7 linked regions of the Callithrix jacchus genome follow. The protein of the gene in region 1 interacts with the protein of each later gene in a biochemical or structural test. Links are inferred from orthologs where the notes say so. Each region holds a gene or a part of one and is shown in the gene's direction. Other genes may lie near its edges.

Region 1 (4,208 bases):
GAGATAAAATAACAACCGCGGAAAAGGAACCACTTACATGTGTCTAGCGCTTCCTAGAGGCTACCCAGGATATGGGCCCACAACCCGGCCCGGAGTGCAGAGATTTGAAGTCCAGGTTCTATCCCGGGCTCCGAGTTCTACTGCGTGACTTTATGCGAGCGTCCGCCGCCTTCTGGGCTTGTTTTCCCGGAAGCAACACGGCGCAGATGGAGTGTGTGTGTGTGTGTGTGTGTGTGTGCGCGCGCGCGCCTGTGTGTTGAGCGTGCTGTGTTAAGCGTGTGCGTGTTGTCCGGGGGCGGGAGGGGGAGTATACTAACACCGGGCTTCCCCAAGTTTCGGATTGCCTACATGCTTGTTCCCATCTGGACCCTGTTACCCACTAATTGCTCTCACTATAAAAACTGCCCCTCCAAGGCAAAGCTATGAACCCCCGCGTCCCCGGAGGATGAAGAGAGGTGCAACGGAGACTCAGCTGAGCGTTCAGTTTCGGGCAATACAAATTTCTCGGCTTCTATGAGCAGCCAGACGACCCCGCGGACCATCGCTCCTGAACTAGACCAAGACAAAGTTCCGAGCGTTCTCAACTTGGGGGGCCGACTCTCGCGAGACCGCCCCCAAACTTAAGCGCCCTTAGGCTCGCCCCCAACTGGGACTTCACAGAGCCACCTTAAGGGCGGTGCTCCCGCCCCCGGAAGTGCGCGGGGGGGGCCACAGACTTGGATTCTCAGCCTCCTGCCCCGCGCGGTGGCAGACGCCGGCGGATGACTTCGAGCCCCACAAGTGGAGAAACCCCAACCACCCCTCGCCCGCACCCTTGGCCCCCAACAACTGGCCGGGTTCCCTGGCCTCCCGCGTCCCCTTATCCCCTGCATCTCTGCATCCCTGTCCGGAGCCGTGAACTTGAGCGCCCCCCCCCACCCCAGAGACGTTGCGAGCGTCCGCCCGCTCGCGGCAGCCACCGTCACTAGACAGTCAAACCCCAAGACGTCAGCCCACAATGCACCGGGCGGGCCAGCAAAAACGGCCGGGGGAGGAGACCAGGGAAGAGAGGGCCGAGAGGCGTGCGGCAGGGGGAGGGGAGGAGAAAGAAGGGACCGACTGTAGGAGGGCAACGGAGCATTACCTCATCCCGTGAGCCTCCGCGGGCCTAGAGAAGAATCTTCTAGGGTGGAGTCTCCATGGCGACGGGCGGGCCCGCCCCCCTGAGAGCGACGCGAGCCAATGGGAAAGCCTTGGGGTGACATCATGGGCTATTTTTAGGGGTTGACTGGTAGCAGATAAGTGTTGAGCTCGGGCTGGATAAGGGCTCAGAGTTGCACTGAGTGTGGCTGAAGCAGCAAGGCGGGAGTGGAGGTGCGCGGTCTCAGGCAGACAGACAGACACAGCCAGACAGCCAGGACTGCAGTAGAGTCCGAGCTGCAAATCTTTTCTTTTCCATCTTCTCTCCAACTGCCCAGAGCTAGCGCCTGTGGCTCCGGGGCTGGTGTTTCGAGGAGTGCGGGGAGAGCCTGGTCTCCAGCCGCCCCCGGGAGAAGAACCCCGCTGCCCAAGCGCTGCTGACAGCGGCGGAGAGCAGCGGTACCCACGCGCCCGCCGGGGGACGTCGGCGAGCGGCTGCAGCGGCAAAGAACTTTCCCGGCTGGGAGGACCCGGGCCAAGTGGCCCAGAGTCCCGGAGCGAACTTTTGCAAGCCTTTCCTGCGCCTTAGGCTGCTCGACGGCGGTAAAGACCAAAAGGCGTTGGAGAGACGCGCGAGAGAAGGACGTGCGCTCAGCTTCGCTCGCACTGGTTGCTGAACTTGGGCGAGCGCAAGCCGCGGCTGCCGGGCGCCCCCTCCCCCTCGCAGCGGAGGAGGGGACAAGTCGTCGGAGTCCGGGCGGCCGAGACCCGCCGCCGGCTGGCCACTGCGGGGTCCGCACTGATCCGCGCCTCTGGGAGAACCGCCGCTCCTGGAAGTGAGTTCGCCCGCGGGCTCCGAGGAACCGCTGCGACCGAAGATCGCTCAGTGAGTGACCGCGACTTTTCAAAGCCGGGCAGCGCGCGCGAGCCAACAAGTAAGAGTGCGGGAGGCATCTTAATTAACCCTGCGCTCCCAGGAGCGAGTTGGTGAGTAGGGCGCAGCGGGGACGACTGCCAGCAGGCGCGCACGCTCTTAGAGAAACTTTCCCCGCCAAAGGCCCGGGGGGACGCGGGTGTACCCCGCTTGCCAGAGCGCTGTTGCGGCCCCGAAACTTCTGCGCGCAGCCCAAACTAACCTCACGTGAAGTGACGGACTGTTCTATGACTGCAAAGATGGAAACGACCTTCTATGACGATGCCCTCAACGCCTCGTTCCTCCAGTCCGAGAGCGGAGCTTATGGCTACAGTAACCCCAAGATCCTGAAACAGAGTATGACCCTGAACCTGGCCGACCCAGTGGGGAGCCTGAAGCCGCACCTTCGCGCCAAGAACTCGGACCTCCTCACCTCGCCCGACGTGGGGCTGCTCAAGCTGGCGTCTCCCGAGCTGGAGCGCCTCATCATCCAGTCCAGCAATGGGCACATTACCACCACGCCGACCCCCACCCAGTTCTTGTGCCCCAAGAACGTGACAGACGAGCAGGAGGGCTTCGCCGAGGGTTTCGTGCGCGCCCTGGCCGAGCTGCACAGCCAGAACACACATCCCAGCGTCACGTCGGCGGCGCAGCCGGTCAGCGGGGCGGGCATGGTGGCTCCCGCGGTGGCCTCGGTGGCGGGGGGCAGTGGCAGCGGCGGCTTCAGCGCCAGCCTGCACAGCGAGCCGCCGGTCTACGCCAACCTCAGCAACTTCAACCCCGGAGCGCTGAGCAGCGGCGGCGGGGCGCCCTCCTACGGCGCGGCCGGCCTGGCCTTTCCCGCGCAACCCCAGCAGCAGCAGCAGCCGCCGCAGCCGCCCCACCACTTGCCCCAGCAGATGCCGGTGCAGCACCCGCGACTGCAGGCCCTGAAGGAGGAGCCTCAGACAGTGCCCGAGATGCCCGGCGAGACGCCGCCCCTGTCCCCCATCGACATGGAGTCCCAGGAGCGGATCAAGGCAGAGAGGAAGCGCATGAGGAACCGCATCGCTGCCTCCAAGTGCCGAAAAAGGAAGCTGGAGAGAATCGCCCGGCTGGAGGAAAAAGTGAAAACCTTGAAAGCTCAGAACTCGGAGCTGGCGTCCACGGCCAACATGCTCAGGGAACAGGTGGCACAGCTTAAACAGAAAGTCATGAACCACGTTAACAGTGGGTGCCAACTCATGCTAACGCAGCAGTTGCAAACGTTTTGAAGAGAGACTGTCGGGGACTGAGGGGCAACGGAGAAAAAAATAACAGAGACAGACTTGAGAACTTGACAAGTTGCAGCGGAGAGGAAAAAGAAGTGTCCGAGAACTAAAGCCAAGGGTATCCAAGTTGGACTGGGTTGCGTCCTGACGGCGCCCCCAGTGTGCACGAGTGGGAAGGACTTGGCGCGCACTCCCTTGGCGTGGAGCCAGGGAGCGGCCGTCTGCGGGCTGCCCGGCTTTGCGGATGGGCTGTCCCCGCGCGAACGGAACGTTAGACTTTTCGTTAACATTGACCAAGAACTGCATGGACCTAACATTCGATCTCATTCAGTATTAAAGGGGGGAGGGGGAGGGGGTTACAAACTGCAATAGAGACTGTAGATTGCTTCTGTAGTACTCCTTAAGAACACAAAGCGTGGGGGGGAGGGTTGGGGAGGGGCGGCTGGAGGGAGGTTTGTGAGAGCGAGGCTGAGCCTGCAGATGAACTCTTTCTGGCCTGCCTTCGTTAACTGTGTATGTACATATATATTTTTTTTAATTTGATGAAAGCTGATTACTGTCAATAAACAGCTTCATGCCTTTGTAAGTTATTTCTTGTTTGTTTGTTTGGGTGTCCTGCCCAGTGTTGTTTGTAAATAAGAGATTTGGAGCACTCTGAGTTTACCATTTGTAATAAAGTATATAATTTTTTTATGTTTTGTTTCTGAAAATTCCAGAAAGGATATTTAAGAAAATGCAATAAACTATTGAAAAGTACTCCCCTAACCTCTTTTCTGCATCATCTATAGATACTAGCTATCTAAGTGGAGTTGAAAGTTAAGAATGTCAATTAAAATCTCTCTCAGTGCTTCTTACTATCAAGCAGTAAAAACTGTTCTCTATTAGACTTTAGAAATAAATGTACCTGATGCTATGGTCAGGTTATA
Region 2 (3,740 bases), on another chromosome or scaffold:
ACATCACTATAATGTGTCATTATATATTTTTATTCTAAAGCACATGATTATATGGAAGTTTATCTGAAGAATATGAGATTCGTCTTGTGTTATTTGAATAACTTTTTATCTGTATGACCCAAAGACTATTTCATAATATCTTATTTTGTTAAATAATTACTAGTTTTTCAAAAGTATATGTTTCAAAAGTGAATTTAAAATTTCAAGAAGACCCAGACCCTGTCAAGTCTGATTTTGCATTTTCATGCCTTGTTGCATTATGGACTGTTTAGGACTTTGAGAAGAGTTAGCCTCCCAATTGTTGAAAGGCGAGTGGTCTGCACCTCCTTTTTCCCTTAACTGTTCAATTCTCAGATATTGACCAGTGGAATAAGGTAATTGAACAACTAGGAACACCATGTCCAGAATTCATGAAGAAATTGCAACCCACAGTAAGAAACTATGTGGAGAATCGGCCCAAGTATGCAGGACTCACCTTCCCCAAGCTCTTCCCAGATTCCCTCTTCCCAGCGGACTCTGAGCACAATAAACTCAAAGGTATGCTCTTCAGGAATGACTTAAGAACAACTATGAGGGTGACGGGCCAAACAAGTACATGTTATAGAGACGTCACTCTCTTTCTCTTTGTTTCCTTCTATGTTTAGTTGACACATGATAATCGTGCATATTTATGGAATACAGGGTGATATTTTGAAATGTATATGGAGGCATATGGTCAAATCAGAGCAATTGGTATAACCTATCACCTCAAACATCGATCAGTTCTTTAATTGGCACAAAATCAAGTAAAGAGAGGTATTTCTTGGAAGATCTTTCCTACAAAGGGGAGAAACCATGGATTTTAGGTCTGAATATTCAGAGGGAAGGATAGTGTGATGATGCTTTGCACTGTGTATTTCACGGGGGATTATTTAGAATCCTAAAGTTATTTAACTCTGAAAGACCAATATAATATACATATATATACATTGAAATCATGGTTTCAATCCTTTTTATTACTTAAAAATATTTTCAGTGCAAGGTTTAGTTGCAAATTGGAGATGCAGATCTGAATTTCTTTTTTTAAATAATTTATAGAGTGCTTAAATTATTTTTTTATTTTAAAATAGTAAATGGGATTTTATATACATTTTTTATTCAATATAAACACATCCATTAATAAGTCATTTTTTCCTATCACTTTGTTGGCAGTTAATGTATTTGAGTAACAAATATCTTCTCCCACAAAATTGACTTGATAATGCCTCAGTCTCATTTGGAGACACAGAATAAATTTGGCAATGCATAAATTGTAATATAAATAATAATACTCAAATTCTTATACTTTGGGACACTTTTGGAAATCTGATGTTGAAATAAATCTGTTTCCCTCCTGCCTGGTTTCAAATTTGTCCCTCTGCCTTAAAATCTGTATGACCCTGAGCAAGTTACCTAATTTTTCTTTCCTTCTTTTAACAAATGAATGTAGAGGGAACCTACCTTATAGGGTTGTTGGGAAGATTAATTGACTTAATAATCTGTCGAACACTTAGAGCAGTGCCTGGCCCACTGCAGATGCTTGGTGACATTAAATATAATAAAAATAGTAGTTTTAAGATGTATCTGTAAATTATCAAAAAAGAAAAACTTAGGACATATGCTTTTTAAATTTAGTCCCAAATGTTACATGAACAGATTAAATATCTACAGACTTAACTTACAAGCTTAATATGTATAGCTGAGGAAGACTTAAACAAGATGAGGAATCTGAAATGTGGTGCCACTGTTTTCCAGGATGTTTTTATATCCTCTGAACTTTTATCTAATGGGTTTTAAAAGTGCAACCCTGCTTCTGTGCTCTTGACACGTTGAACAGTTGGATTTCTTCCTTCAGCTGCCTCTGTGGACTCTCTTACTGACAGTGGACGAAATTATTTCTAAATCTACTGCTTTTAAGATCAACATTGCCTGTATCCAGTTTGAAAAAGAGCTGATACTCCAAGTGAAGATCTTATAGAAGTCATGCCTTAGTGATACTAACTGAGATATCAGGCAAAAGTAATCCCTTCTTATGAAGACACTTGCAACAATAAAGAGACAACAAAGCCCTCATTCAACTATTGTATGAAATCACAATAAAAGGGCTATTAAGATACTATGTTTCATAATATAATTACAATTTTCTTGAATTTACTTTTTAATTCAATCTCTGTAATTATATTACTTTTGTAAATGATAAACTAGTTTGCATATTTGATTATTGATTTTAATTTTTAATATAAAATTGGCAAATATAAATAATCATAATATACAAATAACCAAAGAGAAGAATTTATTCTACTGTATTTGGAAAAGAGCATAACACATTCGCTTTCAAATGAAAGAATGAAAGAGGACGCACTGAAACATTTTCCCATATTGTTTCCTAACAATATTATTGATCATTGTTTCTTAGCAAGATGGTTTGGTATTGGTGTAGTTCATGATCCTATTCATGAACAGTCCATTCTAATCCCAGCTTTTTCTAAGAGCAAAGAAATGGTTAGATTTGATGAGAGAATCTATGAGAATTGTACATGAATTTGGATGTAAAATCAGTTACAAATTAAAGAGATCTTTAAAGCAATGAATAAACACAGCCCTGTTAGGCTATTAGGAGGCCATTGGCAATGAGAAAATTAATTATTGAATAAACATGTAAGTATTGCTGTATTTTTGTTATTCCTGTGCCGTTCAGAGTTTTAATTTAAAAGTAATAATAGTTTAGTTTCTAGGATTGAGTTTCTCAAAAAAATGGTTAATAAAAAGTTCTCATTTGATTTAACTAGTGATTTGTTTATATTTGTTAAGAACATTAAAAGATATATTTATTGATTACCAAGTAAATTGGTAATTATTATTAATTACTCATTGGTAATAATAATTTAATTACCAAAAAATACAGGTAAAAAATTAATTGCTATATTTTAACTGTAGTATAATTAATATTATGTGAAAAGTACATGAAAAGCACTCAAAAAAAGATGCCAATAATCATAGTCATTGCCTCTAGCTAAGGGGGTTAGATATTATTTCCTGATTTTTATATTTTATGTAATTTTCAAATTTGTAGAATTAGCCCAGTTGTCTTAATCTGAAAATTGATTAAATAAAAACTGATACATGTCCACAGAGTCATCTATGTTGATTGTTTGAAAACCAATTTAATTTTTTCTCTTTAATTTGATGTCTTACCATATATTTAGAATAAACAATATTTTAACCTTTCAACTTTCTCTTTCTTTCTTTCTTTCTTTCTTTCTTTCTTTCTTTCTTTCTTTCTTTCTTATTTTTTTCTTTCTTTCTTCTTTCTTTCTTTCTTTTTCGACAGAGTCTTACTCTGTCACCAGGCACTAGGCTGGAGTGCAGTGGCACAATCTCGGCTCACTGCAACCTCTGCCTCCCAGGTTCAAGTAATTCTCCTGCCTCAGCCTCCCAAGTAGCTGGGACTATAGATGCAAGCCACCACGCCCAGCTAATTTTTGTATTTTTTTTTTAGTAGAGACAGGGTTTCATCATGTTGGCCAGGATGGTCTCCATCTCTTGACCTCGTGATTCGCCCTCCTCGGCCTCCGGAAGTGCTGGGATTACAGGCTTGAGCCACTGCGCCCGGCCAACTGTTCAACTTTCAAATCGATTGAGTAACAATATTGATTTGATGTTTTCATTTCTGTTAAAACTTTATGTCAAATTTTACATATTTTTAGAGATTAATGTCTTTT
Region 3 (4,226 bases), on another chromosome or scaffold:
GTGTATTCCGACACACCTCACAGGGCTTTGTAACTCCCCACCCACTTGAAGGTTTGCAGATAACTTAAAAACAAAAAAACAAAGCGGGGGTAGGGGGTGGGGGATTCCTGCTGTTAAAAACAAACAAAGGACTTAGACACTGCCTAGTTTGATGTGGGAGGCCGCAGCAAGAGAAAGGCCCAGGGTACCGGAGTATTTCCTGAAAGTCACCAAGGGGCCTGCGGGCAGACGCCCCTGAAATCTTTTGGTGGGGTGAAAAGACCGGAGCTCCACAATGTGCCAGTTGGTTTGTTGTTGTTTTGCTTTTTTATTTTTTTTTAAATACATAAACTCCCAAATACTCCTGTCTTGCCTCACTTTTTTGTGAGTTCATTGCTTTGGAAACAAAACTCTCTTGCATTTATTGGGTGTCAAATTTCCGATCTTTCTCTATCAGGAGATCCAGCAACACCCGGTTATGTAAATTTCTTCCAAAGATAAATTTAAAAGCATCCCCATTCATTCCTTTTAAGAATTCAACAGATGTCTTTGAGGCCCATTTTCTGCCGGGTACTCGCTTCACAAGGCTCAAGGGACCCCAGGCTCCAGCCATTGTCAAGGTTGTCACTGAGATCCCAACTCTCCACTTCTGAGGACCCACTTGTCCCCACCTCCCCGCTTCGCACACGTTCCGGAGGCTCTCAGCCGGTGTGATCTCACCGTCGAGAGAATAAAAACAGCCCCCGGGCGCCGGAGCCGGCCAAGGGCCTTGACGGGGATCAGCGAGCGCAAGGCCAAGTGCGCGCCCCAACTTCCTGGGCCCGGGCCTTCCGCGCGCCCCCTCCCGGGCTGGGGTCCTCTCCAGGGTGCACTCCCGCCGGGACAGCGCTTGCTTGCTGCGAGTCCAACCCTCTCCGGCCCGCAACTGCAATCGAGCTGCCCGAGCGTGGGCTCCGACAGCGAACGCCAAGGGCCGCGCTCAGCCCTCCCTCCCGCGGCCCTTCTCGCCGCGCCTTTCCCAAGACTTCCTCCCCGCGCCCGCCCGACTTCAGGTGGGGGCTGCGCGGGATCCCGTGCGCTCCAGCCAGGACCGCTGCCGCCCGGGTCGCCCACGTGGGCGTGCTGGGCGTGGGGAGGTGGCGAAGTGGCCGGCCAGCCGGCCCGCCGGGGGCCAGCCGGGAGCTCTCCCCTGAGCAGGGGGCGGATAGGACGCCCGCGCGAGGAGGCGGCGGGGCGCGGGGGAGGAGGCGGGGAGCCCCGGCGGCGAGGGGGCGGTGACAGCGCTAGGAAAGGAGGCTGCACGCGGATTTGCATGAAACACAGACTGGGAGCGGGCGGGAGCGGGAGCGGGAGCGCGGCGTACGCCCCGGGCCGGCCCAGCCAGCGAGCGAGCGAGCGGCGAGCCGGGAGGAGGAGGGCAGCGGGGCTGCGAGGCAGCAGAGGCGGAGGGATCTGCTCATCAAAGCTAGCGAGGCGAGCGAAGTTTGGCCGGGGGTTGGACTTTCCTTCCCGGAGGCGGCACCCAAACAGCTACCCCGTGCGGAAACCCAAACTTCTGCTGCCACTCGGAGTCTCGCGGCCGCCGCCTCCGCCCCGCGTTCGGGGCCTTCCCGACCCGGCGCCGCTGCCGTCCGCCCACCCGCCTGGCCGCCGTTTTCCCCGCCGTGGGAGCAGCTCCGGGCTCAGAGCGGCGCGCCGAACCCCGCAGGCTGCAGCGCCGCGGCCCGGCCCGGCGCCCCGGCAACTTCGCCGAGAGTTAGGCGAAGTTTGGGCGGCCGAGGCCGGCCCCGGCAGAGCTCCCCTCTGCGCCCCCGGCTTCCCGCCGAGTACAGCCCCGCCGGGGGCGCTCCTCGCCGCCCGCGCGCCCTCCCTAGCCATGTCGTCCATCCTGCCTTTCACTCCCCCGATCGTGAAGCGCCTGCTGGGCTGGAAGAAGGGCGAGCAGAACGGGCAGGAGGAGAAATGGTGCGAGAAGGCGGTCAAGAGCCTGGTCAAGAAGCTCAAGAAGACGGGGCAGCTGGACGAGCTGGAGAAGGCCATCACCACGCAGAACGTCAACACCAAGTGCATCACCATCCCCAGGTGGGGGCCCGCCCGGGGGACCCGGGGGCAAGCAGCGCAGCCCCCTGGCACTGCGGGGCCGACCCAGTGGGGTTGGAGATGGGAAGAGGGAGAGAGACTGTGTGCGTGCGTGTAAGAGTGGGGAGCAAGAGCAGGGGCAGGAAGGGGGTGGGGGGACCCCAAACAAAACCATCTCTGTATTTGCAAAGATCAGAGCCCGAGGCTTCCACGCGGCACTCTCGCTTCCAAACCTCACATTCCCTTTCCACCCCTGGGAGGGGAGAGCGGGTTGCTGCGGGACTCGGCCGCCCCCACCCCGGGGAGCTGGGGCTGGAAGTTGAGGCCCGCTTTGTTCGGCTCCGCGGGCCGGAGCCCCTCCTCCGCCGCCGCCTCCCGCCCCCGCGGCCCGCGCTCGTGGAGGTGGTGGTGTCTCTGCGTTTCTTTTCTTCAGTCCGGTCTCCCCACTTCTTTCCTCTACAGGAATGCGGTCCGTACAGCTGGGGCTGTGGGTGAGGAGCGGGAGCCTCGTGATTGACAGATTCCTTCTTCGTTCTTTCTTTGCCTTCGGGATTAGCGTTTTTATCGAGTATTTTTAGATTCGGTTGTGCCAGTCTCCCGCCCCCTGCGCACGCACGCACTTTGGTTGCAGTGCAAATGCTCTGACTTCCAAATGGGAGAGACAAGTGGCAGAAAATAGGGTCTCCTCCCTCATTTCCCACCCCTCATCCCGACTCTTTTGCCCTCCTTTCAGTCCAAGAGATTTTGAGTCGTGCAGAACGAGGGAGAGGGGCGGGCTGGAGCCGGGCAGATAACAAAACACACCCCGAAGTGGGCCTCGCATCGGCCCTCGCATTCCTGTAGAGCCCTCCTTCCCAAAGCGCTCTGCCATCTGTCTGGATCTCCTTTATCCTTCCCGTCGCGCGCTAGCTAGGTCGGGCGGGAGCCCACAGATGGCTGATAGAAGGGGTCAGTGACTTCACTCCCCCAGGGGCTTCCTTAGCTTAGCTGTGCCTGATTGGGAATTGGGGGTGGAGGTACCTTGGCCTCCTGTCTCTACCTCTCAGTCTTCTTTGATTCCGAACCAGGGGAGAGAGTGTGTGTGTTGGGGGGTGGCTGTTTTGGAGGTCCTAGGCTGCAGAGGAATGATTAGAGAGCACCAGGGACTGTCAGCCATGAAGGGCTGTCATCCCTGTTCCGGAGCCAGGGTGGACTCCATCCTTGGCCACCTGCTTGGGGCAGTTGTACAAGGTCTGCCAGGAGAGTCAGGCAGGCACAAAGCAACATCTGTCTGCAGGAACTCAGGGCAGGCTTCCCCTGGAAATAAATGCCACATATGGTGGGAGTGCGGACTTAAACAAAATTCTTTTTTAACTGGGTGGATCCAGTCAATAAAGGGGGAGGGAAGGCGGTGTGCTGTCTGGGGAAGTCTCTGGGCGTGTGATCAGGAGCCAGAATTGACTTCAGAGGAGGTGGTGTGATGTGATGGTCAGAGAGACCTCGGGGTTTGGTTCCAGCTCGGGTTCTTAATTCTTCTGTATTTCTTCGGTGCGGGTGGAGAGGGTAGAGTGGGTGAGTATCCTACTTCTCTGTCTGGGGAGGGGGCTCCCAAACCTACCTTGTCCGTATCTGCCGTGGTGCATTGAAGACAAGCGCTTTAAGCGTTGAAAAAGAAAAGTGGTATTAATTATACAACAGGCAGCTGTGAAAAGTGTTTCACAGTTTACAAAGCACTTTCACATGGTTTCCGAGGTTCTCAAAAAAAGCAAGCAGGCAACCAGCCAAGCCCTGGAGAGTAGGTTAGGTTGTTAGGCCTAAGATTATCACATTTTTAAAGTTGAGAAAACTTTAGGAGAGAGAGGTGCAAAGGCCTGGGTAGTAGACACGGGCTTCTGACCGCATGTGCTCTTTCTGCTGCCCCACGCTGCTTTCTGCTTTGAAGATCTGAATACATTCTTTGCTGAATGCTAAAGCCCTTTTAGCTTGGGGAGGGCCCTGTGGACCTTTGTCTGTGCCGTTGCTCCTGTATCTGTGGGCTGTTGATGGCTTGGCGGAGAGGCCTTGCTTTCCCTGGTCTTGGTAGTTTGTCCTCTGTGGGGTTATACCTTTGGCCTGCCTTTTCCTCTTCTAAAGCCCCACTGGGACTCTGGAAGGCTAAGACAGAGGCACGTTTTGGATGATTCTGAGGG
Region 4 (3,740 bases), on another chromosome or scaffold:
TAAGACTCAAATGCCTAGAAGTGATTGGTTAAAATACTGTAAACCAGCGGAAATTTGTTGCATTGTTTTCTATAAATCATAACCAGATCTCATTAATTGAAAACCAAATGTCAGTTTGTGTTAGCGAGCATCTATAAACCAAAAAGGTACAGTGATCCTGGCATGTGATGGGCAATAAAAACGTCAGCAAAACGTATCAGGTAAAATTCAGAGGAAGGTGTGGGGAGGGGTAAATTCAAAACCATATTGGAGTTTACTGCCAGGGCCCCACATAACGGGTTTTAATGGGGCTTCTGCATCAAAATAAGTGAAACCATATGGAATTTTAATTATTACTACAGTGTATTTTAAGTATAAATACACCTGAGAAGCAGTTTTTACATTAACATGCCTATCTGTGTGAACTCCATGCTTCTGCAGGGGGCACACCTTGGCGTTTTAAATACTACTTCTTTCTGATGCACACTGCTCACATTATTCTGGTCTTATATGATCTAAATATTGAACTTAATGCATACAGAAGTGACTTGCCCATCACTATTAGCTCTGCCTGCTTGGGGGTCTCCCAGGTGCCCTGCAATGCAGAGGCCACCTGAGGAACATCTGTGGCCTCCATTTGGCCTCTGTATTGTATGAGGCAGGGCACGAGCATTGGGCAGGGAGATGTTATGGTGCATCTGCTCCCATTTCTGATTCTGGCATAATCACAGCTTCCACATTTTTAAACTTAAGCTTGACAGAATTTCATTTTGGGGAGGAATAGGTAGAAGCTAGTTGAGGATGGAAGAATTTATAAAAAGCAGAGAGTGACTGCCTGGGATATGTCAGTTCTGGTTCTTCATCTTGAAAGTGCTTCTGGCATTAGAAGCTGCTCACTAGCTTTTACGATCTGCTTATGGGCATGCGGACTCTGGGAAAATACTAATGACAGATGGGAACCTCTCTATCTACTCCTCCCCTAAGGCTGTTGCTTCTCTTTCTCTCTTGGAATTCATGGTCATAGAACATTAGAGCTGGAAGGGAACTTAGAGCTCATCCCCCTCATTTTACAGATGATGACACTGCCACCTCTGACTTCTGCCTCTGGCCTTCCACTCTCAGTAAGAAGAGCCAGGCAGGTGAGACTTTTAACAATTGCTGGGCTGGGCTGGGCAGGGCTGGGCTGGGCTGGGCTGTCTGGTTGTTACTGTCTGATTTGCGAGTTTGTTAACTATGTGTTGCTTTCAAAGAGTCATGTTTTATTACAAATGCACATCATGGCACTTAAACCTTGCATTTTATGAAGATTCTAAGCAGTGTGCATTTTAACAAAAATTAACAACCTTCAATCAGCAACTTTAAAGAAAAGCGTTCGGATTATTCCTTTAATAAATGTTGTAATACCCGAGAACAAGGTCTGAATAAAAATGAGACGAAGAAGTAACCATTCACTAAAGTCCTCAAGAATTGTTTAGTGCTTTCCTTTATAGCTAAAAGCTGTAGGAAAAACAAATATATGAGATTAGAATAATCCAGATATTTTAGAAGGGTTCATTATCTTAACAAGGGCACTGGTGTTAGAAAAGGGCTTGTCACAGTGCTGTCAATTCCAAAAAAATATTAATAGACCCAATCTTTAAAGATCACAACTACAAGATTTTTAGCATTTCAAAAAAGTAAATTCCACATTAAATGGTTTATAATGGTGGTTTCATAAGTTAGGCACCAGGAATGTCTATTAAGGAGGCATACTGTTAGCTTTAGACGTGAAAGGACTTCACATTTTAGGGGAAAACCATCTTCGCCTCTAGGTTACTGCTTCAAGTTGACCTGAAGCTGTTTCTGTAGGATGTGGTGCTGGGGCCTGTGAGATAGGTGGGGAGTGCCCTCCTCTTAATCTCCCCTAGGCAGCAAAGGCTACTGTCAGCACCTGGCCTAAATCAGGTCACAAGTCTCCCATCAAGACTTGAAATGCAATGATTCCTAAGATACCAAGCCCCCTTTTGCCTCCTAACTCCCACTTTCAAAACCGGCTTGTCTAGTAGCTTATGACACTCCTGTCCATCTCCAGAGAATTTAGGAGTTTCTGGTTTGATTTCACTGTTAACAAGATGAGGCTTATGACAAGATTTTAAATTCTTTTAAGGCTTTAAAGGAAATGATAGGAACATGATAGGATATCCTTTTGATGCTCCTTCATTGACTAAGGAGTCTGCCAAGAGTAAAGAGTAAGACATTATTTTGGAATTTCTTTATATTGAGTTGAGGAAAATAAACTTGTCTGACTTAGTAAAAATTTCACTTGAAATATCTAATGCGCAACAAGAAACAAAAAGAGAAAAAAAAATCCATAAGGATTTGGTCTTAAAGTCTGGTGAGTGAACCTATGTGATCAGAGTGTTGGGTTGGTTTACACATTGACCTGGCACACATGTGGGTTTTTAAAGCCCTCTGGGATGCTCTGAGGGTGAAGAACTTGAGGATCAATGCTGTTAAGACTGCAAAATGGGGGTAAAAAAGACTGTAAAGTGACTGGTGCATTTGAAGGTCTATTTGTGGCTTGCTGTTCCTATTTGGGAAAGCTAAAGTTTTCATTTTTTTTTTCTTGTAACAATTCTATCATTATTTTAATTGATATTTACAGATTTTTCCCCCCCGTCTTCTGTTATAATTTTTAGGTGCTTCAGAACTGGGCCCTTTTTCAGACCCCAGGCAGTTCCCAAGCATTTCATCCCTCACTGAGAGCCGCTTCTCCAACCCACGAATGCACTATCCAGCCACCTTTACTTACACCCCGCCAGTCACCTCAGGCATGTCCCTCGGTATGTCCGCCACCACTCACTACCACACCTACCTGCCACCACCCTATCCCGGCTCTTCCCAAAGCCAGAGTGGACCCTTCCAGACCAGCAGCACTCCATATCTCTACTATGGCACTTCGTCAGGATCCTATCAGTTTCCCATGGTGCCGGGGGGAGACCGGTCTCCTTCCAGAATGCTTCCGCCATGCACCACCACCTCGAATGGCAGCACGCTATTAAATCCAAATTTGCCTAACCAGAATGATGGTGTTGACGCTGATGGAAGCCACAGCAGTTCCCCAACTGTTTTGAATTCTAGTGGCAGAATGGATGAATCTGTTTGGCGACCATATTGAAATTCCTCAGCCGTGGCCCAGTGGTATCTGGGGAGTCACATCCCACATGTATCAATATATACATATATATAGAGAGAGTGCATATATATGTATATCGATTAGCTATCTACAAAGTGCCTATTTTTTAGAAGATTTTTCATTCACTCGCTTAGTCATGATCTTGCAGCCATAGGAGGGTAGATATTGAGAAGCAGAAGGCTCAAGAGAGATAGTTGCAATCGGGTTTCAGATTGTTTACTATTTAAGATACACTTTTACAAAGGAACAAACAAGGGAAAAGGTATTTTTGTTTTTGTTGTTTGGCCTGTTATCATCAATAACCTGTTTATATGCCAATTCAGAGAGGTGGACTCCAGGTTCAGGAGGGAGAAGAGCAAAGCCGCTTCCTCTCTGTGCTCTGAAACCTCACACCCTCATGGTGGCAGCTGTGTATGGACCAGTGCCCTCCACAGACAGCTTACAAAACCAGTTGAGGTGCACTAAAGGGACATGAGGTAGAATGGACGCTTCCATCACAGTACCATCATTCAGAATAACTTCCAATTTCTGCTTTCAGACATGCTGCAGGTCCTCATCTGAACTGTTGGGTTCATTTTTTTTTGTT
Region 5 (4,208 bases), on another chromosome or scaffold:
AGGCGGCCTGGCCCAGCCCTCAGTGCCCTTGGAACCTGGGTCACAGGCTTGCTGCCCTCCCCAAATTCCGCAACCACCCTTCACGCCACCCAGCCCCTGCCCCTCCCCAACTGCAGGGTCTTGTTCCTTCTCCCCACGCTGGCCCTGGCCACTCCGTAGATCCTGGTATTGTGTGATTGCTGTTCTACCCCCACACTCAACATTTGTCAACCACTGTCCCCATCTTCCAGTCCCCAAAGTCCGGCTCTCCGCGGTTTTCCCCATGTGCCCAGTCTCCGTGCCTCGATTCCTGCTTTACTTTTCACCGCAGATCTGGCAACATCCCAAGCCTCGGCCTCTCCCATCCTGTACGGCCCCAGGCCACTAGTACCTGATCCGGCCTCAAAAGCAGCTCAGAGTCAAAGGGTCCCAGTCCCTAGGAGGCCCTGAACAAGACACTTCTCGCCCTGCCCCCCACTCTTCTCAGAGGATTGACTGAGCACGTCCCACTTTTTAAATGTTGTCAACTAAGTCACCCCACCACCAAGCGCACTCTCCTCCTGCGTCACCGACCCACCGGGTCACCAGTCTACCGCCATCTCTTCGCACCACCTCCACCTCTACAATCCAACTTCTGCCCTCACCCACACCCCTATAGACCCATTCCTGCCGCGCTGCAGCAAGCAACCGAGTCCGGACTCGAGGCTTCCCGGACGCCAGGCCTGCCTCCCCCAGCGCTCGCCCCGGGCTCTCCCCGAAGCAGGCGAGCTCCCGGGCCGCTCCAGGCCGCCTCGCCGCCGCGAGCCTGCATCTGCAGTCTGAGGCCTGGCTCCCCGCGGACACCGCGGCATAAACCCCGCGCGCCTCCACCCTGATTCCCGGTCCTGTGGACCACCTCCTCTTCCACCGAGCCGTGGCCCCCTCGCCCAGACAGCGCGGGCTCAGCGGGTGGGCCGGGCAGTGCCTACGTCTACAGCTCACCGCGTGTACGGCGCGCACCGGAGCGCCGTGGCCTGTCAGCTGAGAGGCCCGTGGACGCGGAACCCACGGAACCCCGGCCTGGGACTTCCAGTCTGGCCCCCGGCCCCTGGCCCCGCCCCCGCCACCCTCCAGCGACCCGCCCACCGGGAGCCATTGGCCGCATCAGCTTCGTTCTCCGCGCGCTGATTGGTCTGCCCGAGGGTCGGTCAGACCAGGCGCCTCGGCGGCGGCAGCTGAGGCGAAGGGAGCTGGACCGGAAGGGTCGCAGCGCCCTGGCGCCCCTCACATCTACTGCGGCGGCGGCGGCGGCGGGGCGGAGCGGCTGCGGAGCGGGGCGGGGCGGCGGCGGCGGCGGCGGCGGCGGCGGCGGAGCCGGAGCCGGGGCCGTGGAGCCTGGAGTGACCAGAACGCAGCGCCGCCAGTCTGCTCGCCCGCCCTCTCCCCGTGGTGCGGCGGCCGGGAGGCGAGGTGAGCCCGGCGGGCGGGCTAGGCCTGGCGGCTGCTACTCAAACCGGGCCCGCCGGGAGGGGCGGCGGGGGAGCCGCTCGGCCGGGGCTTCGGGGCAGGCCGGGGGCTGCGGGGCCCTGGCAGCCGCGGCTGTCGCCCCTGTGCTCTGGGATGCCGCAGTCGCCGCCTCCTGCCCTACTGTCAACAACCCTGGGTTGCGGGCCTGCTCCCCGGCCTGGCCCGGCCAACATGCCCGTGGGGTCTGCGGGCGCCATCCCTCCCGGTGGTGGGGCTAGCAGCTGCTCTCTGCGTCGGGTGTCCAGGGGCCCGGGGGTCGCGACCGCTCGACCTTGGCCAACGCACCGACCCTCCCTCTGCCGCGGTTTCGCCTTCGGGAAAGTGGGGGAAATGTCTCTTCTGGACACGGTTTTTGTCAGGCTGTGTGACTGTATGCAAACGCCTGGGCAGGGCTCGGGTGTACATTTGTGGAAGATTGGGCGGGGTGCTGACCCTTGCTCGTGTGAGTGGAGTAGGAACCCCCTCCCCATCCGTCCAGCCTCCTGCCTCCCGCGAACTTCTCCCTTGCATTGTCATTGCACACTCAGTGTCCAGCAGTGCCAGAGGGGACCCAGCCCACATCCCTTATCACCACACCCCTACCCCAGAAGACCGGCCACATCCCACTCATCTTGCTCGCCTTGAATATGCCAGCCCACATTTGCCCCAAGACATTCGCATTTGCTGTTTCACCATCTTCGGAGTTTTCTTCGAGATCTTGGTACAAGTAGCCCTTTCTGCTTCTTCCTCTGGTGACATGTCTTGTTTTGGGTGAGGCCCTCCCCGACCACCCTCTTTCTTCCCTTAGTCATACTATTTCATTATTTTAAAAATTTCATTCCTGGCTTTCACCTGGTTTGAAACTATTCTATTTATTTGCCTGTTTATTTTCTGTCTCCCCCACTAGGATGTAACTTTGTGAAAAGAGATAGCTGTCTGATTTATCCACTGCTTTATCCCCAGTGCTTAGAAAGCAGACAGTATGTATTCAGTAGTATCAGCTCAATGAATGAATGAATGGTCAAAGAAATGGCCCAGCCTCCCTGTTGTCTCTGCTTTATCTGTTCATTTAGTGACTTTTGATTAACTTGTGAAACTTGTAAACAGATGGAAGCTTGTTCTATTTTGTGAAACATTTTGGTGTCCTTGACCCCTTTAATTGCTAACTGTTGGAACAAGCTGTGGTGAAAAATCCCACATTTTATAACAGGTTAGTTCTAGCTTTCTTCTACACATACAGTAGACATTTACTGAATTCTGCATTATCTAGGTCATGCTTTCTGCCAGGCCCTAGGGACAAGGCAGATAGCAACAGGGTCCCTTTCCCAAGAGAGCCTGGGAGCCCAGTAGAGAAGGCAGGCATGCAGACACTTAGTTCCAGGACTGTACATCACTTGCTGTAGTTCAGGGGCTATGCCATGGAAATGTGAAGGAGATGGAAGGTTGTGGGGGCGGGGCGGTGCTTGAGGGTGTTGAGAAATTTGCTAGGCAGGGAGAGGCACAGAGGTGTGAAAGAGCATGGCCAAGGAAGGACTGTAGCCCACTTCAGAGCTGAGAATCCGTCTGCAGGGCCAGGTGTAAGGGCACAGAGTCATGGGGACCCCAGAGAACTGGAACCTTACCCAGTAGTTTTCTAGAAGAAGGTGGAATTTGGCTGGGTGCCATGGCTCATGCCTGTAATCCCAGACACTTTGGGGGGCTGCCGTGGGAGGGTCACTTGATGCCGTGAGTTCAAGACCAGCCTGGGCAACCTAGCGAGATCCCTGTCTCAACAAAAACTTTTTTTAAAAATTAGCTAGGTGTGGTGGCATGCACCTGTGGTCCTAGCTACTTGGATGGCTGAGGTGGAAGGATCCCATAAGCCCAGGATTTTGGGCCTACAGTGAGCTATGACCATACCACTGTGCTCCAGCCTGGTGACAGAGCAAGACTCCGTCTCTAAAAAAGAAGGCAGCACTTGATATTTATTCTGATTTTAAATGTTGGCAATAGCTAATTAATTTTTGTAAAAAACGCTGTGAGTAAAGCCAAATACAGATTCATTCAGTTTGTTCGCAGGATTGTCCTCCTCCATGATTGGCTGTGTGGGAGGGAGGAACTGTGAGGAGCAGGAAATGTAGCCTAAGGCCAGGGGAGCCAGGTCCTGTTTGCTCAGGTACCAGCCCAGGTACTTATTTGATTGTTACTGGAGCCCTGTGGAAATGGAAGCTCAGGAGTTTCAGTAGCTACTTCTAAGCAAGCAGCTGGTGAGTGGAATTCGAACCCAGGTCGCTCCCCAGATAAGCATTCTTTCCTGGGTCCCTCAGCTCAGAGTATTCTCTTCTGGCTTTTATCTTGTTGTGGAAGAATGACAACCAGTCTATTTAATGTTTTCTTCCATTTAACTTTTTTCCTTCAAAAGGATCCTGCAGAGTTAAAAATAATATTATTTTTGCATAGTCTTCTCTGGACAGCTTTGATTTTCCTGGTAATTTAATTTTCAGGATGCCAGGACTTTAATTTGTTCACAGATTAAAATATGTTTATTTGGTGCCCTAAATAAATATTAGAGGGAATACTTGAATGTGTCTGTTTAAAATAAAATCTTTATTTTCTTTAACTGGTTTACTCACTATTAACTGATTTGTCTGGTCCTGTTTTCTTAAAAGGACCAGACAAATCAGTTAATAGTGAGTAAACCAGTTGTTTTCATGAGACATAAGATAAAACAGAGACCAGATTTTTTTCTTCTTAAGACTGTTGAT
Region 6 (4,486 bases), on another chromosome or scaffold:
AAGGTCAGATGCTAAGTCTGTGAGACTCTCCTTGGTTTTGCCACATCCTCCTTTGCCCCTCCCACCACCTTTCCTGTAGCATTTTAATCAACAGGAGCCCTTGGATTTACCCAGTTAAAATATTCCTTAGTTTACCGTTTGCAGATGGTGGTGGCAGTAGTGGCAGAAACCCAGAGCTTCCCAAATTTGTTTATAATACACTTGCTCCTATCTCACCCCTCCTCGAGGTGGAAATACTTGTAATATCCATTACTACTGTTTTCAGAGGAGGTGGAATGTACTAGGGTCCAGCGACATAATTGTGAAATTTGCTTTCATTATTGTTGCTGCTTTAATGTCTTTCTGATACGATTGACCATTCTCATGCTATTCACTCAAGACAGATTTCTCAGGATTCGGATCCTTTTATTAAAAATTTTTTTTCCTGGAGAACTACACTTTAAACTTCATGAGTTTTTACTTGACGTTCCTTTCCAGGATAACGTCTGTAGGAAAAGCTGCACTAATAGTAATAATATTTGTTTTAGAAAGAAAATAACCTTTGAGTCAGACCTGAAACACAGGCCAACATTTCTTGATGACACTGTACACTGATGAACCAAGACGAGAAGCTCTCGAAAGCTCCAAACCGTAAGAAAGAACGATTCGTAAAAGTGTGGCACTACTAATGAAATTCTTCCCTTGAGAGTCAAAAATCCTTCCACAATCTCCCGGATGATGGTTCCCTTCCAATCCTCCCTCCCCGCCGCCCTAAAAATCTGCCCGAGGATGGGTTCCTTCCCCTGCCCAGCATTTCATCTCCTTTTCCACTGAAGACTCAGGTTGTGACTCTGTACTCAGGCCGCACCCCTGTTTCCTTTCATAGCTAGGGGGAGGGGAGGAATGTATTACAACTCATTTTTACAATGCACTGCAGTTTGAAAAGCGCTTGCACTTCCACCATATCCTATGAGCTTCGCGAGTGCCACGTGAGGAGGCATTCATTCATTCATTCATTCATCAAACATTTGCTCTGCCCGACCACACGTTATCCAGCGCTGAGTCTCACCCCACGCCACGGGAAGGGTGGGGCGCTCTCTCCCTGGGGCAGGTGCAGTGGATCAGGCCGTGGGGTAACTCCTCGATCAGTCCGGCTTTTCGAGGGCCTGTTTGGAGCCAAATGCCTCACCTTCGGGTGGTGCGCGCAGTTGCCTGAAGGCGCGGCCTGGGCCTCCTACTTCCTCCCAAAGGAGCAGTCCCACCTGCCCCGCAGGAAACCGCTACAGAGCAAGCTCTCCGGGCCGCCCTCGGGTCAGGGGTAAGATCGGGCGGCAGCTTAGGCTTGTCTCGGCTCCTCCCCTTCCTCTCTTCAGTTCTGACGCGGCCGTAGAGGCTGCAGCAGCGGCGGCGGCGGCTGCAAGTCCCGCGGCCCGAGGCGCACCCACCCGCTCGCCTATCCCCACTTCCTCTTCCCTTGGAGCGTCATCAGAGCGCGCCAGAGGCGCCCAGGGCGGGGTGGCTGGACTAGGAAAAAAGGCCCGCGGAGGAAGCCTCAGAGCGGAAAGAAGAGGGAGGGGGAGGAGAGCGGTTGCTAGGTGACTTGCGTCATCTGCAGGCGCCGCTCTCCTCCCGCCCCTCTCTCTCTAGAGTGAGGCGAGAGCCCCGCACAGAGCGAGGGAGACAGCGAACTGAGCTCCGGGCGCTGCCGCCGCCGCCGCCGCCGCCGCCGCCGAGAGTAAGAGCGAAGGAGCATCCGAGAGACTCAGCCCCTCTGCACTGGCCGCCGCTGAGACCTTCGCCCTCACCTGGGTCAGCGGGAGCCGCGGCCGCACACCTCTCCCCCCCTCACCTTCCCGGCCGGCAGCAGAGGCTGCACACGCCGGAGCCGGAGCCGGAGCCGGAGCCGGAGCCGGAGCCCGAGCCCGAGCCCGAGCCCGAGCCCGAGCCCGAGCCGGAGCCGGCGGCTTGGGGGGCAGGGAGGCGGCTACCGCGGGCCGGGACTGGGTAGCTGCTCCGCGGTGAGAGAACGCTGAGGAGGCGCCGGAGCTTCTGCCTCGTCCCGGGGCGTGGGGCGTGGGACCCCCAAGGTGTAGGGAGGGGGGTCCCAGCCGCAGCGACACATGCAGGAGCCGGGAGCGGGGGCGGCGCCGAGCGGAGCCGGCAGGGTCCCCCGCCTCGCCGCCGCCTCGGCCACCCGCCCGGGTCCGTAGCATCTTGCCCCGGAGTGTATGAGCCGGGGCCCCAACCAAGCTCTGCAACCACCCCCCCGGCCGGGGGGACTGGGACCCCGATGTGAAGCAGCGGCTGGGGCGGCGGAGAGAGCGGGACCGACGCCGCCGTCCTTTCCTCACCTTCCCCCTCCCCTCAGCCCCCTTCGGGGGTCTTCTCCCTTGGCCAGTCGCCGGCCCCCCGGCTCCTTGGCTGGACTCCGGGAGGAGTTCTTAGAGCCCCCCTCCCCCGCCCCAGCCCCCAGGGCGGCGGGGCCGGGGGGGATCCGGGGGGCCGGCCACAGCCTCCGCCCAGAGGAAACTTTATAAAAACAAAATCCAGAGCCTCCCAAACGTGACTGTCCTGGGAGAAGTGGCCCTGGACGGGCAGGAGTCGCAGCCTGAAAAGACCCAGGAAGAGGAAAAGAGGAGGTAAGCGGGGCCGCCGCCTCCTCGCCCCTGGCAGCACGGAAGAGACCCGAGTGGCCGCCTGGTTTAGCGACACGAGCCGCTTCTTCCTCAGGACCGCGCTGCCGCCTCAGTCCGAAGGAGGAAGGGAACCAGCCCACTTTCTCGGCGCCGCGGCTCTTCTCTAAAGTGTGAGTGGCCCCGTGAGAGGGAATTGAGGGGAGAAAGTGGGAGGATGCCGGCGCTTCCTCCTGGAGTTTTGCTGATGTTCCCAGGAGTGTTGGGAGTCACAAGAGGGTCTAGCTTTATTCACAGAAGGGAGAAGGTGTTAGGGAGGCCTGTATTTCGTAACTTTTTAACTCTGTACGAGTAATGCAAGTATGCAGGTTTCTCTTGGAGGAGTTCCTTCTTCAGAGTGAATACTCGCACCTTTCTGGCCAGTAATTGGCAAAGGGAAATTGAGGAAGCCAGAGGATGTGTGCGCACAGAGGCCATCTGTATCTGTAACCTTTTCCTGGTACTGTGGGTGTGTACAGTGTTCTTTTTGTTTCTGGGGTACTCTTATATAGGACCCCCGAAAGCAAAATTCCCTTTTTAAAAAAAAAAATGAAAAAACAGTCTTGGGAGATTTTCATTTAGTACCTATTGATACAGGAGTTAATCTTCTCAGTTCCTGGGTCTGTGTGTCAGGAGACACTGTAACAGATTTCACTTAGGAACTTGATTTCTTAGGAATCACAGCTTATCTGGGGAAGAGCATTTATCACATTAATCATTTTATAAAAGTGATTTTTTTCCCCTTCACCAAGTTTTTATTTTTTTTGGAGTAACATCTTAAATGACAACACTTTTTAATTTTGTTTGAGGTTTTGCTATTTTGTATTGTCTTTATTTCTGTATCAATTTAGGATACACTTTTGATATTTAATTCTTTCAGGAATGACTTTTTCCTTCCATTGTTTTAAAGTTGAAGTCTATAAAACCTTTGACTTGCATTTTAGTAATGTTCTCAAAGTACCAAATTAAAGTTTCATGGAAGTAATTAACATATCATATACAGTCCTTAAGGGTTAAACATAGAGTAGAATTTTATGTAAGCAGGCATAGACAGTACTATAGTGAGAATTGTGGTCCGTCTAGACAACTGTGTGGGCTCCTTCTGTCTGAAGCCACTGCTGAGAGTTGCTTTGTGGTAATGAATGTAAGCCTGGGGTTATCAGTCTATCTGAAGTTCTCCATTCAGGATCTTGATTAAATTTATTTAAAACTCAAACTTAACAATGTTTGGTCCTATTCTTTTAAAGTAATGAGTTCTGCAAGTTTATTAGCCTCTGTATTATGTGACAATTCATTTATAAATTCCATAGGCAATTTATTTATATATTCCATACCTGTGTCCATAAATTTTCAGGACACAGCCAGAGTTTGTGTTTCGAGAAATACCAGAACAAGCCTCAGTTCATCTTTCCTTACTTTTATAGTGTTTTATTATTTCTACCATCAGTTTCTCCAACTCTTGTCTTAGAATAATGTTTCTTATTTCTTTGACCACTTTTTCCTCCTCTGGAACTTCTCCCACTGTACTGTTTTTCTTTAGTTGCCTTACTATGTTTTGGTAAGGAACCTTAAATTCTGTCTTTTAAGTGTGTACTGACATGAAAATATTGAATAGTGGATGTAATGTTAGACTTAGAATCAGAGTCATGTATTTTGTTTTTCACAAAGATATGATAAAGAGAAATGTAGTCATGTAGAACCTGTATTTTGAGAAGGAGGGGAGGACAAACTAAGAAACAAACTGTAGTTTGAATGTAGGTTGCATTCTGTCAAAGTTGCTCACTAACTTTTGGACTACTTGTATTGCTTTAACTATAGATTGGTTAAAAATTTTG
Region 7 (3,457 bases), on another chromosome or scaffold:
ATATTTATTCAGCTCTATTTCATAAGGCAGTGGGCACCCAGATGTTTTCATATTCATGGTTGTGCCTTCTTTTGACCTGTTGCAGGTAAAATTACCTAATTCATGACCTATACTCAATTCCTGTAATACCAACTTGTCTAAACAGTTTTGTAAGATAGATACCTTCTAACTTTTTACTCTGTATATTGCCTCAGCATAATGGTGTATTCTTACAGATTTTAAGAAAATGAATAATTTTTCTTTTTTCCACTCAGCTGCTGATAAAGATGATAGTTCAGAAGACATTTCAGTGCCGAGCAGTCCACATACAGAAGCTATACAACATAGTTCGGTCAGCACATCCAATGGAGTCAGTTCAACCTCCAAGGCAGAAGCTGTAGCCACTTCAGTCCTCACCCAGATGGCGGACCAGAGTACAGAGCCTGCTCTTTCACAGATCGTTATGGCTCCTTCCTCCCAGTCACAGCCCTCAGGAAGTTGATTAAAAACCTGCAGTACAACAGTTTTAGATACTCATTAGTGACTTCAAAGGGAAATCAAGGAAAGACCAGTTTCCATTTATGCGAAATCTGTGGTTGTAAATTTTTTTTTTACTTGAAATTAAATTTGGCTCTAAAGTTTGTGTAGCAGCAGTTGATCAGACTGAAAAACAGCTTTTAGTCTCTGGAGAAAGACTGATTTTGCTTTTTTTTTAATATAAATATTGTTAGATTTATTAATTTTTCTGTGCTCAGTGTATAAATTGTATTATAATTCATTGTGGTTTATTTCACTTTTAATTTGCTGGTGTTTTAATAAATGGGGGTGTTACTGAATCCTTCTTCCCACTTCCATTTCTTTTGACCACCCCTTAACCCTCAACTGTGATGGTAGTAGTATTATCATTTATACCAAAGTTCTGCATAGTCCCTGTTGACTTTGTAATGTTAACGGAGTCATAAAGCACTAGGCAAGAGAAAGAAATTTGCTTTTAATCTTTTTGCCTTTTATTTTGCACATTATGCAAAAGGAAAAACATTAAAGAACACTTTTTTTTTAAGTGAGTGAAAACATGGTAAAGACATACAGTGCTTTTATGCACATTGTTAAGCTAAATCAAGGTCATTTATAATAATGCATTTTCCTTTTATTTAAGATTTTAAGTAAATTTTAGAATTTTCAGCATTTCAAAACGATTTTATTTTTCAAGTCTTAAATTCGATATTTTACACTTATGTTTTGAGGCTAAAAAATATGAAATTATATAATGTATTATACAGGGTTATCAAATATCTAATAATTTTTTAAATTAGCTCTTGTTTTTGTTTTTTTGTTGTTGTTGTTTTTGCAGATTTCAGGTTACAAACTGCAAAGTTTATGCATAATTAAGTATGGTATGGTTGCCAGAAAAGCCTACAATTACAACTTAGAAAATTTAAGACTGTTTACCCCCATTGTCTTGTACTTGCGAGCTAACTTGTACTTAATTCTTGTGAAAGCACTGTCATCTTTTAGTAGCAAATTTTGATAATGTTTCTCGTGGAAAAAAATCAGTATCTATCTTTAGAACAATGTAATTATAATGTGGGAAGTGTGCATGAGGGAGAGAGAGAGTGTGTGTGTGTGTCTGTGTGTGGGTGTGTATGTGTGTCTTTCAATAGTTTATGCCAGCAATCTTTGCTTGAATGTTTAACGATGCCTTCAGTGTGATGCTGGCCAATAGATGATTGCAGTTTAAAATGTCATTATTGTGCAGGCTTGGATAACTAACATTCCATGATGTAGCTTGTTTCTGATGAGATGATTGTAGGTACACTTTTCTCATTATCCAGTCATCTGTGGGATACTTAGTTTTCTAATGTGCCATTATCTATTTTTATTCTGCAATTATGTTCAAAATACAGTACATATTTTAAAATAGAATAAATTGTTAAACATAAAATTTTTAAAGTAGTAGATGTGCGTAAGAAAACTTTGTAAAATAGTATGAGTCCTACCCAGTAGCAACTTCTGGCATTCAAGCAGGATTCCATTATGTAAATATCTGTAATGCATTTATAATAAGTTGTGTAGTTTGTCCTGCATCCATACTACACTATTTGCTAAAGTCTCAGTGCCATCTCCTAATGAGACTGACATTTTAAAAGTCTATATGGAATATCCTTGATAATTCAAGGAAAATATCTCACCTGCCTAAGTTCCAAACTGGGAAACATTCAAATTATATAAATGACAGTTCAGGACTTTAAGTATGAAGATAATGGGAATTTTATTGTTTAGCTTATTAAAATGAGAGCATTTTTATTTGACAATTCTTCTAAAATTTTTAATTTTTAACTAATTTCATTATTTTAAAGTAATTTCAAATCATTAAGGAGTTATCTCAAAGGCACAAAATATGAATTCTGCAAGAAGGCTATTTTTTATTGCAGTTTGAATGGGTTAGGAAAAGCCTCAATTTTTCACTCTTAAGTCCTTTCGTGCATTTTTCTTTCATCTTATTACTTATGCAAGTTAAATTCTTTGGTAACAGAATTCTTGCAACTGTAAAATAAAACTACATAGATGTAAGAAGTCATGTAAACGGTTAACAAGCTTACCAAGGTTAGCAAAACTTTCATTGTAAACCAATCTGTACTGAGCAAATAAAAAATCATTCTTAGTTGTATAAACACAAATTCCATTTTGACTTTCAGGATGTCATACTACTTCTGTACCTAGCATTTTCAGTCCTTATATTTGCAATGTTACACAAACTGTACTATTTTCTTTTATGTGCAGTTTGCATGAGTAAACCATCAGAGAATAAATTCTATCTTTAAATTATGTTCATAATTTGCTTGTTCTTACCTTTCCTTCATGAAGTAACATCACCTGATAATGATTTTTTTTTTCTTTCAGGACATTTATTACCTGAAAAGAACCTGAATTCTTTCTAGTTTTGTGATCAAATTCATTCATTCCTTTTTACTGCAGGGTACTCAGGCCTTGTTCCTATTTGCACTCACTTTGCATCCCATTCATATATAATGAATTATATAATTCATATGTAATTCCCCACACCCCTGAACTTTAGCCGCAGATCCACCTGCCTTTGGTATCCCTTGGTGATGGCCTGACAAAACATCTAAAACAAAACAGGTCCAACACTGAACGGCTAAACAGCTCACCCTACCCTCAAACATATTCCTCATACAAACTTTCATGAGTCAATTGATGACAACACAATTCTTCCAGTTGCTTAAGCTAGAACAACCTAGTTGTCACCCTTTTCTTTTTCTTAGCCTACATTCAACCCATCAGGAAATACTATTTCCTTTACCCTCAATCCAGAATTCAACCACATCCTCACCATTTATACGGCTTTCATCCTGATCTGTGCCTTTATGATTCCTCATCCAGTTACTGTACTTGCTTCATAAATGTCTTTTCACTTTCACCCCTGCCCACCACAACCCAACCTCAATACAGCAGCCAG

The links.
Region 2: of the proteins of JUN (region 1) and MAPK10, one has a biochemical effect on the other in vitro, tested with the Homo sapiens proteins (7 studies listed by BioGRID and IntAct, with this or other methods). The link is inferred for Callithrix jacchus from reciprocal best matches to the Homo sapiens genes JUN and MAPK10.
Region 3: the proteins of JUN (region 1) and SMAD3 form a complex in vitro, tested with the Homo sapiens proteins (3 studies listed by BioGRID). The link is inferred for Callithrix jacchus from reciprocal best matches to the Homo sapiens genes JUN and SMAD3.
Region 4: the proteins of JUN (region 1) and RUNX2 form a complex in vitro, tested with the Homo sapiens proteins (2 studies listed by BioGRID). The link is inferred for Callithrix jacchus from reciprocal best matches to the Homo sapiens genes JUN and RUNX2.
Region 5: of the proteins of JUN (region 1) and MAPK9, one has a biochemical effect on the other in vitro, tested with the Homo sapiens proteins (17 studies listed by BioGRID and IntAct, with this or other methods). The link is inferred for Callithrix jacchus from reciprocal best matches to the Homo sapiens genes JUN and MAPK9.
Region 6: the proteins of JUN (region 1) and FBXW7 form a complex in vitro, tested with the Homo sapiens proteins (3 studies listed by BioGRID, with this or other methods). The link is inferred for Callithrix jacchus from reciprocal best matches to the Homo sapiens genes JUN and FBXW7.
Region 7: the proteins of JUN (region 1) and ATF2 form a complex in vitro, tested with the Homo sapiens proteins (4 studies listed by BioGRID and IntAct, with this or other methods). The link is inferred for Callithrix jacchus from reciprocal best matches to the Homo sapiens genes JUN and ATF2.

The regions. Positions count from the first base shown.
Region 1 is NC_133508.1:95,863,850-95,868,057, reverse strand, and holds the start of JUN (transcription factor Jun), read left to right. Parts: upstream 1-1,309; 5' UTR 1,310-2,280; coding exon 2,281-3,285; 3' UTR 3,286-4,208. Other genes in the region: uncharacterized protein LOC128928178, read right to left, coding at 38-39. UniProt on the Homo sapiens protein: Transcription factor that recognizes and binds to the AP-1 consensus motif 5'-TGA[GC]TCA-3'.
Region 2 is NC_133504.1:111,512,183-111,515,922, forward strand, and holds part of MAPK10 (mitogen-activated protein kinase 10), read left to right. Parts: intron 1-354; coding exon 355-537; intron 538-3,740. UniProt on the Homo sapiens protein: Serine/threonine-protein kinase involved in various processes such as neuronal proliferation, differentiation, migration and programmed cell death.
Region 3 is NC_133509.1:14,107,603-14,111,828, forward strand, and holds the start of SMAD3 (mothers against decapentaplegic homolog 3), read left to right. Parts: upstream 1-1,293; 5' UTR 1,294-1,855; coding exon 1,856-2,061; intron 2,062-2,435; exon of another isoform or gene 2,436-2,522; coding exon of another isoform or gene 2,523-2,527; exon of another isoform or gene 2,528-2,549; intron 2,550-3,483; exon of another isoform or gene 3,484-3,609; intron 3,610-4,226. UniProt on the Homo sapiens protein: Receptor-regulated SMAD (R-SMAD) that is an intracellular signal transducer and transcriptional modulator activated by TGF-beta (transforming growth factor) and activin type 1 receptor kinases.
Region 4 is NC_133505.1:53,970,815-53,974,554, forward strand, and holds part of RUNX2 (runt-related transcription factor 2), read left to right. Parts: intron 1-1,052; coding exon 1,053-1,118; intron 1,119-2,657; coding exon 2,658-3,136; 3' UTR 3,137-3,740. UniProt on the Homo sapiens protein: Transcription factor involved in osteoblastic differentiation and skeletal morphogenesis. Essential for the maturation of osteoblasts and both intramembranous and endochondral ossification.
Region 5 is NC_133503.1:71,332,627-71,336,834, forward strand, and holds the start of MAPK9 (mitogen-activated protein kinase 9), read left to right. Parts: upstream 1-1,168; 5' UTR 1,169-1,428; intron 1,429-4,208. UniProt on the Homo sapiens protein: Serine/threonine-protein kinase involved in various processes such as cell proliferation, differentiation, migration, transformation and programmed cell death.
Region 6 is NC_133504.1:44,161,658-44,166,143, forward strand, and holds the start of FBXW7 (F-box/WD repeat-containing protein 7), read left to right. Parts: upstream 1-1,624; 5' UTR 1,625-2,618; exon of another isoform or gene 2,619-2,709; 5' UTR 2,710-2,785; intron 2,786-4,486. UniProt on the Homo sapiens protein: Substrate recognition component of a SCF (SKP1-CUL1-F-box protein) E3 ubiquitin-protein ligase complex which mediates the ubiquitination and subsequent proteasomal degradation of target proteins.
Region 7 is NC_133507.1:54,370,268-54,373,724, forward strand, and holds the end of ATF2 (cyclic AMP-dependent transcription factor ATF-2), read left to right. Parts: intron 1-254; coding exon 255-481; 3' UTR 482-2,811; downstream 2,812-3,457. UniProt on the Homo sapiens protein: Transcriptional activator which regulates the transcription of various genes, including those involved in anti-apoptosis, cell growth, and DNA damage response.